Xenopus tropicalis: one gene and its partners. The protein of the gene in region 3 interacts with the protein of the main gene of each other region in a pairwise test. Links are inferred from orthologs where the notes say so. Each region holds a gene or a part of one and is shown on either strand. Other genes may lie near its edges.

The links.
Region 1: the proteins of prkab2 (region 3) and stx11 interact in binary tests that used the Homo sapiens proteins (3 or more experiments, as listed by UniProt). The link is inferred for Xenopus tropicalis from reciprocal best matches to the Homo sapiens genes PRKAB2 and STX11.
Region 2: the proteins of prkab2 (region 3) and cdx4 interact in binary tests that used the Homo sapiens proteins (3 or more experiments, as listed by UniProt). The link is inferred for Xenopus tropicalis from reciprocal best matches to the Homo sapiens genes PRKAB2 and CDX4.

Annotation. Positions count from the first base shown.
Region 1 is NC_030681.2:45,305,620-45,309,378, reverse strand, and holds the start of stx11 (syntaxin-11), read right to left. Parts: upstream 2,242-3,759; 5' UTR 2,187-2,241; intron 2,046-2,186; exon of another isoform or gene 2,021-2,045; intron 1,743-2,020; exon of another isoform or gene 1,718-1,742; intron 1-1,717. UniProt on the Homo sapiens protein: SNARE that acts to regulate protein transport between late endosomes and the trans-Golgi network.
Region 2 is NC_030684.2:47,047,478-47,051,236, reverse strand, and holds the start of cdx4 (homeobox protein CDX-4), read right to left. Parts: upstream 2,525-3,759; 5' UTR 2,391-2,524; coding exon 1,952-2,390; intron 1-1,951.
Region 3 is NC_030680.2:118,092,671-118,096,429, reverse strand, and holds the start of prkab2 (5'-AMP-activated protein kinase subunit beta-2), read right to left. Parts: upstream 2,303-3,759; 5' UTR 2,198-2,302; intron 365-2,197; 5' UTR 350-364; coding exon 188-349; intron 1-187. UniProt on the Homo sapiens protein: Non-catalytic subunit of AMP-activated protein kinase (AMPK), an energy sensor protein kinase that plays a key role in regulating cellular energy metabolism.

The DNA of each region.
Region 1 (3,759 bases), on a different chromosome or scaffold from region 3:
TGCTATTATTCACTCTCTGAGCAGCTGGTCGATTCATTTCCTAGAGAGTGTTGGGCTGGGCATTATGCAAGTTTGTAATAAGCTGAAGTTCTTATTTATGGTGATCCTCCAGCCTATCATAACATTTATCCTTCCTCAGTCCAGAGTGCTTAAAGGGGACCTGTCACCCTAAGAAATAACTCCAAATTATTTTCTATATTGTTAGTTGAGCAAAATGAACTTTACTTACTCTATATAAATAATATCAATCTTGTTTCTTTCCGTCTTGGAATTACTCAATCAAAGCAAGCAGGCAGGCACCATTTTGTGGACACTGTTATTAAGGCAAGCTTGGTATCATGCCAAAATCTTGTTTATATGCCAGAATGGGGGACCTGATGCCCAGGCCCTTGCACTGGCTACACAATTAGATGATGAGGAGGGAGGGGAAAAGTGAGATGTGCAGTGACATCTAGGTAGTGCTGAACGAAAAGCTAAAGTTATTGTCTGCCCCGCCTCTATGCCTAAGGCATAAAGGCGGGGCAAGCAATATATGATTGACATCTGGGATTTTTAAATGCCTCTATAATGGGTTTGGATGTGTTAATATAAAAATGAATTTGGGTTTCATGTTTAATTTGAAAAGGACTTTTATTATACAGCTTTTTATGTCTGGGTGACAGGTCCACTTTAAGAAAATGCAGGAACCAAAAGGGAACCACATCAAAAGATGTGTGTGTTATCAGTTGAGGATATGTCAGTAAACACAATGCAACAGGGTTCCTTTGATGATGGTTATAAATTCCTTAAATAATATCCAAGTTGCACAAGCTCTCCAGCATCAATGATTCTGCCTTCCTTTATGATAAAACAGTCTTTTTCTCTACATAAATACATGGGCATGAAAGTCAGTTTGTCACTTCATCTAAGCTTGTGATCGCTATAGAGGTTGTGCTGAATGGAGCTAACCATATTTATTTAAACCTGCAGAATATTCCATATGCATTTTACATAGCTTCCTATGGTATAAATCAGATAGCTGGATTGTCACTCTTAGATGGTGGGACAGAAGCTAACAGATGCCAGAGAAGATTCTGTGATGTCATTTTATTACAGGTCTCTGCTTGCAGCATAAAGAATATTCTGAAGCTGCATTCTCAGCCTGTCTGCCCTAATTGCTTACTAAGTTTAAATCTCTTCATACAAGGCTAAATATGAGTGTTTGGCCAGGGTGTCAGGTATAACCTCCTTAAAGGCCAGTTTACCCAAAATGTGCTAGACTACAAAGCAAAAAAACATTTTACAAATGGTTTAAGTATAGTGGGAGCTGTAGTCCAGCAACTTCAGGGTGTGTATGCTAGTTCACAATAAAAATCTACCCAGCTTTCTAGGACCAGTGACCCAAATTAATATGCAAAGTAATCCTCCAATAAGAATCCCTTTGATTAGTCTCCATGTTGTTTGTTTTGTCACTGTAATTGGAAGCTTTAAACAAACCTTTTCTATGGCAGAACTACACAGAAGAGCATCCTCCCTTGTGATGCTACAGTGTGATAACATAACAAAATGACATAATGCTGACAAACAGCAATCTCATTGGTAAATTCTCTTGCATCAGTAATTAGTCATGTACTTAAGAGAAGTAAGGGACACAGTGAGAAAGTTTACAACCTCTTTAAGCTCCTTTCTATTTAACCTGCACATTTCTGATCTCCTACACTCAGAATCATCCTCTCACCATTTATGCGCAGTCTCGGCCACAAACCTGTCTGTAGCTCGCAGGCCACAAATTAAATCATCTTCCTTACAAGAGCTTGAAAATACCCTCACTGGTGTATAAAAAAGGAGTTTGCTGCACCTGCACAAGCAAGTACTGTACTACAACTCCCACAGTGCCCAAACTGCTGCTATATTTGAACTACACAATTTCCCACAACCTTGTGACAGATTACTGTAGTACAAAAAGGGCTGAAAAGAGGGGGCAACTGAGGACTAGAAACATATTATTATTGCCAAAAGGAAACACAGGGGGTCTTATAACCAAAAAGGATGCTTGGCTTCCACACTGATGGTACAATGTACAACCTTAACAGCACAAAGACACACTTTCACAAAAAGAAGCACAATGTTTCTCTAATCATCATAACGACACAAGTTTACAGGGTAATTGGCCCATCTCCAGCAGTCTGCCCCAGTTCAGCACACACCTTATTTTCCCAATCAGGTTCAGCTGCGAACAACTCCTGGCCAACAAAATGAACTGAAAATTCTATTCATACAAAGCAGCTATATAAAGCCCGGACGGGCTGATTGTTTCTGCTTCAATTTGTAGTAATGGACTTTCTATACGATTATGCAGCACATTATTGCTACGGCATCACTTATTCATTCAGGGGTGTAACTATAGAGAAAGCAAATGCTGTGACTGTTGGGGAACCCAGGAAATATGGGCGCCCAGAGGGGCATAGATTGATAAACTCAGTCTCAGTATATTTTTATAAAAAATACATTATTGCCAAAGTGGCAAATGACTTTGTTATGGGGCGCAGAAACTTCAAGTCTCCCCACTGACCTGTCTGTTAAACTTTCTGTCACTCTGAAAGTCATGTGTTTGATTATCCTTTATATCAGCCAGTCTCGGTTATCATGTTATATACTGTCAACCTGCCCTGTGCAAATTGTCCATCAGATAACCAGTTCTTAACAGTGTCTAAGGAGCTGGCCCCACAGGAAAATGCACCTAAAGCAACAATGCATGCACTTACCTTTAACCAACTGCTGGGTATAGGTGAACTCTTGCTTTGTAGCTCCTTAATTCTGTATTACAGAGCTGGGAAACTTTTCAAGCTGATTGCCTTCAAGCCTCAAGCCATGCCCATGCTGTGGCACTCACACAGCCTACTTCCTCTTCACTCACAGCGAGCAATAGACAGGCGGCTGCTGCTGCTGTTGTGCTGCTCAGTGGGAGGTGAAGTGTCAGAAGAGGAAGCAGGGTGAGCACATGCACCATGTGAGTAAGCAGGAGGTGTTTCCATCTAAATGAGAAGCAGATAATACTTAGAATTTCTTTATTGGAAAAGAAATGATTCAGAAAGAAACCTCCAGGAAAACATATAACTACTCTGTAAGTTTTATCCACACAGACCTGGCCCTTAAACATCCCTCATCTGCCAGATTAGTCCAGTCCATACTTTTATACCATACCCTGTAGCTTTTCTTTTTAAAGGTTTTAGTATAAAATAGCCAAATAAACATACATGTATTTGATTTTTTTTACATTAATGGTGTGGGGGATTCACAAAGACAGGCACCTAGTGTACACTGGTTCTGTAATATATTTCAACCAAAGGCACATTAGGCACAATCAGTTAAAGCATTACATGCAGGATTATGGAATGTCCCTTTTACACTATATATTTTTTCTTTAGAGAAATTTTGATATATTTGTGCCCATATGCACCCCCAAGGGTGGCCCGTGTGCATGCCTGTCCCCTGACCATAGGTACGTCTGCGCTAGGTAAGGTACGGATCTATTCTTCGCAGAACTGCCTTCAGGTTAGCTTTTCTAATGTGTGACCTGTGCTGCTGCTGCGTGAGGTACCACAAACAAGGGGTGTGCATGGCAGTTTTTCTTTTTCTGTACAGACATGTCAACTCACACAAGTTTTCAGGTTTCACCCTATTTTTGTTTCTCTCATCTGGTCACCAAAAGTAGCAACCCTAGCCAGATTCTACTGCCTGTACACTGAACAGCAATATTATACCTTATAAATGATATAT
Region 2 (3,759 bases), on a different chromosome or scaffold from region 3:
AAATTATTCAGCAGAGGTTCCCATTCGTTATTCAATATGTCACTTCCTAAATTATTTTGTATTTCTCGATGAAAAAGTCCAGTTTGTATGTGTATATATATATATATATATATATATTTATTTCTGTCCATAAATGCCCAAGGCTGGGCATTGCTGTCTAACATCAGCTTGATATGCTCAGGCGGGATATTCCTGATCATTTTGTTAGGGAATTTATACTCAGTGGCCTGTTACATACATCAGAGGGAATTTAGGTATTTTACTTACATATATTTTCTTCTGGTTGCCTTTCTGCTTTAATGTAAAAAGGTAAACCTAACCCTATAAAGAATCATATAACAAATTATTAAGGAAGCTGTACGTAGTCCTACCTTTCTAAACAACAGTTTAGCCCACAGCCAACAGTCAGATATTATGCCCATTAGCCTAAAAAGCAGTGAAGCTAGTTCATCTCACTGTCACATCTCAGGATGCCCCATTTACCCACTAAGAAGGGGCATATTCAATTTTGTTTTCATAATATATGAGATTAAAGCAGTAGCCAGAGACCCTCACTGTTGAACATTAAAAAGCCCTATCCTAATTGTTAATATATAATTATATACGCATAACTACATGTACATACAGGCTGTGTACAATAAATTTGACTAAATCCACACACAAAGACTAAAATAAAACACCCCTTCACATTAATTTTTAGGGCCAGTGGAATATGTAGCATTTTGTCTGTGTTTAAAACAAAGCAACACACCAGGAACTGCCTCAGATTGCATGTCTATAGTTGCAATAAGAAAAGTGATTTTTAGTATCTCTATTATGAAGCAATCTGGGATAATTCTTAAAGTGTTGTCTCAGTTTTCCCCAGAAAAAAACACTCACTGAGCCAAAAGGCTTGTGAGCCATTACCCTTATTTAATAATGAAACACACCATGCATTTAGACCCTCACTGGCACTCATCACATATTTATATGGGCATACATCAGGCCTTTTGACAGGATGCACAGCTTGACCATATTCCACTAAAATGGTCAGTTGACAATTTTATAACCAAAAATATGCATTCCTAGAGCTATACTATAGTAGTCAGTTTTTCTATTCAGCTTCATATATATATATATATGTAGTTAAATACTTGTCTTCACTCACTGTTCAATGTAAAGTTTATTTAGAATACTAAATACAGGTATGTATAATATGAAAGCAGTGTGGTTTCTTTGTAATAATATTCTGCAGGGAAATAGTGATGTTCCCTGTTGATCAAGACAGGCACATTTGTTGTAACTCTTTTTTAACAAGAATTGCAGTGTTTTATTAATGTTACTAATAACAATAGGAGATAGCCGTTAATGTACTCGGCTACACTATCTAATGTTAAAAAGCACCCTAACTTGCTTTGGCTTATGTCAAAAAAGAAATGTGACTGCTGCTAGTTGTTGATAGGTTTCATTGTTTCTTACTAGTGCCATAATATTGTACTTGCCACATTGGAATCAATAAACTCTATTTCTTGCCAGCTACAAGTAGTAATTTATAATCTCTCTGTGTAAAAAGAGCCTACTATGTCTTTTTCCTACAGTGTTTTAACAAGGGAATTTTGCTCATGTTTACTGTTGCTTTCTATGGGCAATCGTAGAAGGGATATAAACATTATAATACCAGGATTATTAATTTGGTTATGTTGCTTAAAAAAAGCACAATTATTTCCTAAACAAAAATAAAATTTAGGGGGAAAAAAGAAGAATATATTTATTTACGAGAAGAAGTGTTTCCACGTGGCCTAAACATTTAAAGGGTGTGCCTAATATATATAACGTGGAAAAACACATGCAAATTTTTATTTTTCAAGTGGCAACTTGTAGCTCCATTTTGGGTATAATTATGCCAAAGGTCAAGATTTTAAGCTATTTTTAATCAGTTGAGCAATGATTCCCTTTGTACAATTTTTCTTACCTGTAGAAGTCGATTGCACGGTTTTCCCCATCCATTCATAAGAATTCTGGCTAAGATCGCTGGGTGAGTTGGCAGCTGTGTGAGACAAATCTACAGAGTGTAAAATCCCAGTGCCGGATGGATGCGGGGAGCTATAGCCAGAAGAATTATAGGCAAATTGGTTAGGTGATAAGTCAGATGATTGTGCCATATTTGTGTTGGAAGGTCCAGCTCCATAAGAGTTCCATTGCTCCCTTGGTGAGCCATACTGAGGTCCCCAAACTCCACAGGGCTGCCCTTGTTCATCCATAGGTGGAACATGATGATATGTAACATAGTTGAAATAAGGTTGGTTAGAGGCGTAATTCTGCGCTGAGTGGTTATTGCTGGCGGATCTTACAGAAAGTGGATACATGGTAACGTCCTTGTGCATAGCCTGTCTCCCACATGTGATGTTCATTCCTAGGCGAGATCCTTGGTGGTCATCTTTATCCTCAACCCTGTTAAGAATACTTCTGCAACTATGGTGCCCAGTAGTTCAATATGAGAGTTGCGATACAAATGACCTCTGTTAGGCCGGTGCCTTGATGCTACACATGACTAACAATGCTGTGGCCAGGTGCCTGCAGTCACAGCTTACTAAAGCCCAGTCTGATGTCAGAGATAACTGCCTGCCCCCCAGATACATTTGCATTCAAATGAAAGGCTGGACATCCCAGTTCCATCACCTTGTTGCTACTTTCAGTGCTTCCTTTTTGACCGGAGCCTTAATGTAAACTTTCCCACATCCACTAACAACTACCCAACCACATTCAGCTACTGTTTTAGTCTATTATGCACAGTATAAAAGCATTAAAATCTATTACATTAAACAAAACCTTGATTGCAGGTGTAAAAAGTAATGCCAAAGTCCCAAACATTATACTGAAAATGTTTGATAGTCTTAAGAGAAAATAAATACATTTGCCTCCACTCTCTGCTCTGGGGGCTTTATGTACAAAAAATGTTATGTACAAAACTAATGTTTGATTTTATAATATAATTACTGATAGTAATGAACAACCCTTTAGTTGCTATGTTATATAGGAATTTCTGAACTAATGAACTGACAATTACTATTCTAATTTGTTAAAGTAGCACAGTCATTCACTCCCTATTCCAGTGGAGCTTGCAATCTAATGTCACATGAACTCTCCATCTTACATTTTTATTAAATGATTTCCTTTTTCTCTGTAATAATAAGGCAGAACCTTGTACTTGATCCCAGCTAAGATATAATTAATCCTTATTGGAGGCAAAACAATCCTATTGGGTTTAATTACTATGAATCTGAATTATGGAAAGACCCCTTATCCGGAAAAACCCAGGTCCCAAGCATTCTGGATAATGGGTCCCATACCTGTATTGTCATATTCTTGGCAAATAGTAATACGATCAATTGTTCTCTAGCTAGAAGGTTTACAGGAAAACTCCTATCTTGTACAGATGATCATTCAGTAATCATTTAGGACATCATCATTTGTAAAGGTCGAATCACACAATATTCAACTATTTGACCCATGGGCCAATCAATTCGCCTATCCAACATCTCTTACTGTAAGTCAGTCTGTCTATGGCTACTGATTTCTATTGCATTGGTGGAAACTGTACCGTAGGAGCATAGTAATTTTGATGTGTTTGTGCTATAAGAAATCTCCTATTTATTATATGTTCTATATTATACAGAACAGCCCCAATTTTACACCCCAAATTTCATGGGATGTCAATTTTTCATGATCTTACACAGGCAATTTGTGTTATTTTAATTTTATCATTTAAATGTGGTTCCC
Region 3 (3,759 bases):
ATTTCTCAGAAATGTAGTTCAACAGCAGGAGGTCCACATATAATAAACTCTTTAGAAGAAGCACTATGGAATGTATTTTTGCATCCCTTCTAACACTAGCATTCGGGTCATAGTAAATGACCCCTATGGCATTAAAAGATCACATTCCCACTCCAGTCTCATATAGCTTTTCAGTTCATTGGAATACCTTAGATTCTTGAGTACTAAAGATATTTGGGTCGTCTGTGCTTCCAACCATGATTTTGTTTTCCTCATGCTCCTTAGTAGAGTGTCCCCCAGTTGCTCCATCTGCACGGTGGGACTTGCCATGCCGATCTCCAGATAAGCGATCACTTGCTGTGTTACCCATATTTGGCTCAGGCCACTGCAAAGCAAACAAGTTGTGGTGTAAAGTGTATTTTATATGAAGGGGAAATATGTAAGAGAGCCAAAAGTACAACTAATAAATAGGGTTAATATGGCTCAGGCTATTGTTTTAATTTTGAATCATATATCTTATTTAAGCTATGCAAAGAAAGCATGGTTTATCTTTACACAGCTTCTGTGTCTAGAAATGTGCAATGCAAGTCAATGCAAGGAGAGACAATGACCTCAGTATGATATATATCAGCCTCAGAGTGCCTGGAGTTTAAGAAATAAAAAAGAAAAATAAGCAATGGGTAACTGTAACACTCATTCTCACTCCTTTACTGGAATGAATGAAGGGCTCTATCACATGGGATCTGTATGTTCTTTCCATGCTTGTGTTATTTCCTCCAGGTACCCCAGTTTCCTTTCACACTCCAAAAATATGAACTGGCTACTGATATCATTGATAGGAACTTAGACTGTAAGCTCAACTGGGGCAGGGACCGGGTAGTAATAATAATAATAAAAAATATAAATAATAATAAGGCTATTCACTACAGATTCACTACAGTTTTTTGTCTTTTATCATTTACAAAAAATGGGAAATATTCTTAGACTGTAAGCTCACACAGGAATGGCCCTTCCCTTATTGCCTCCTACCAATAAGCAATTGTATATGTGTATTGTATCCCTAATCCATACTAGCTTTGCATGCCTTGTATATTAATTTTTTCCTTATTTTTTTGCTTTATATCATTACATAGTTTTTTTCTATATGTAGCTGGCTCTTTGGTTCATGAGATCAAGGACAGTGACATCTGATCTCAAGATGGAGACCTATTCATGTATCCCAGCATTAGATCCTTGTGACCTTGCTGCTCCAGTTATTGCACCCAAACAGAGCTGCCATAACTTTGGAGATGTACTTTGTATCCCCAGAAAAAAGCAGCTCTATAAATCCAGTTCCATTCTATTTGTTGAATGGGATCTCCACAGGAACTAAAGGTTGAGGCAATCTCACGTCAGTAGCAAGGCTTGGGCTCAGTTCTCTGCACAGGATAACAGCATATTGGTAATAGGTTTTAGTGAGTGTGGCCGAAATTGCTGCGTCTGAGCACGTGTTGGAGCTTGTGTTTTAAAGGAAATGTGAACCCAAATATACGAATCTTCCATAATGAAACAAAATGTACTAAGTAACTTTCAAATATACAGTAATAACCTCTTCACTATTCTGGGACATAAAATCGCAGTGTCTGTAAATCCGACACCTGGCAGGAAGCCTAATGGGAAACAGGACACAGTAATTAGCAGTAATTTACTGGCCAGCAGCATCTCTAGAGAGTGACAGGCACAACACAAGGACTAGAATATGGGGTTTAGTTATATACAAACACAGCAGCTACCACATATTACCCAGAGCTCCTTAGAGCAAAGCACTGCAGTTCATTTAGCAGCTTGTGTATAATAACTATGGCAACAGCAGTGCCATGATACAGAATTACTTTGCCCTCTAACTCCATTCCGCTTACCACAAAGGCTACTTTATTCCATTGCTCCTTTTATTAGTACAATACATATATCAATAGGCATCACCCAGGACTTATTTAATATTAACACATCAGAAGGACCTGTATATTATAGAGCAGTTACCTAGGAACTACATGAGAGTGAATAGAAATATAAAGCAAGGAAGCCAGGAGGGAAACAACAACAACTTGACAAGGAAATATTCCCATAATGCCCTGCGCCCAGCGCTGGCATCTAATGTCATTTGCTGAGTAATAATTACACAGAACGATGTACCCTATTTACTAACAGACATGTAGTGTAGGATGCTAAGGAAACTTACCCCGTTTGCTGCAGGTCCCTCTCCCTTGGAGTGAGCGGGGTAGCCCCTGTGCAATGCCGGGAATAGCTCTCAGCTGTGCTCTAACCGTGACACATTGCACAGCCGCTTGTCACACGCAGCAAATAGATTGTGTGGCAGACGAGCCGGGCAAATCAGCACCACTTGCAACAGGCCTGCATCAGCGATTCATCTCTCTGCCATCTAGTGGAGGGAAGCTGAGGGGAAAGTAGGGCTTGTGGCACGGGTAACCCTATAAGCACTGGATCAAAAATCCCCCAAGGCGATTTAGTTTTCGTTTCCAACGTGCTATATAACAATTATATAAATCATCTTTTAATACATACGCCTAGTTGTGCAAGTCATTGTTTCCGGTTCAAGTGGGTTGTTCTGAGTATTTAGGGTTATGTTAACCCATTATAACCTGCTCTGCACAGAAACAGGGCCTTATTGTTTGTATGTAGGTATATCTTTATTTACAAAGCACTACTTATGTACGTAGCACTGTACAGTAGAATATATTAATACAAACAGGGGGTTAAGTTAATAGATAAATACAATGTATAACATATTATTGTGTCCGGGAAATGCCCTCCCCGCTATACGCAATAGCGAGTGTACAAAAATATTGTGAAAATGACTCTCTGTCGGTTGGTGCTAGAGTATAAGCAGCCAGTGCAGTTGGTCACACTACATACCACTAATGGAGTAGGTATGTAAAGAAAAAAGCGTTCAGTTTACAACATAAATAAACAGTAGCACTAAAGTAAATATTTGTATGTATGTATGTATGTATGTATATCTTTATTTATAAAGCGCTACTTATGTACGCAGCGCTGTACAGTAGAATACATTAATACAAACTGGGGTTATTAAGATAATCGATAAATACAAAGTATAACAATAAATACAAGATAAATACAGTTGCAATAAGTTAAGAGTCAAAGACACAAGAGGATGGAGGTCCCTGCCCCGTAGAGCTTACAGTCTATATATTTGAAATTCTCCAATGAGCTTTTTGGAAATCTCTGATGTAAATATCTAAAACAACTGCTGTAATATGTCCTGTGTGATTGTATCTATCTTTTGCCCCTGGAAAGCTGGGGAGGTAGGTTAAAGCGAAACATCTACGCTACCATAAAACTAGCAATGCCACTTAATATGGCAAGCCTCCACATAAAGTACTGTAACTGACACCAGCAAAGCTGACCATATACATACTGATAAAACCATATATGAAATGATTTTCAGTGTGCGCAGATGGTGGCCCAGTTATGGATGGGTAGGTTTAAAAAACAAAGCAGCTGATGCACCATGGTGTATGGTGCATCAGTAAATGAAGAAGTGGAAATGTCAGGGCTACCATCAGGGGGAGTAATAAAGGTATGAACCTTTAGGCTAAGGACCCATGGAGCGAGTTAGTTGCCAGTGAAAAGGCATTTCGGAGCAGTTAGTCCCCGCAATAGCAGAGATTTGGGCTTCTCTACTAGCCTGAGACAACCACAGTCTTTTGGCAGGGAAGATATGTGCCTCCAAAAATACCCCAGTTGGTCCCCATCTTCTTC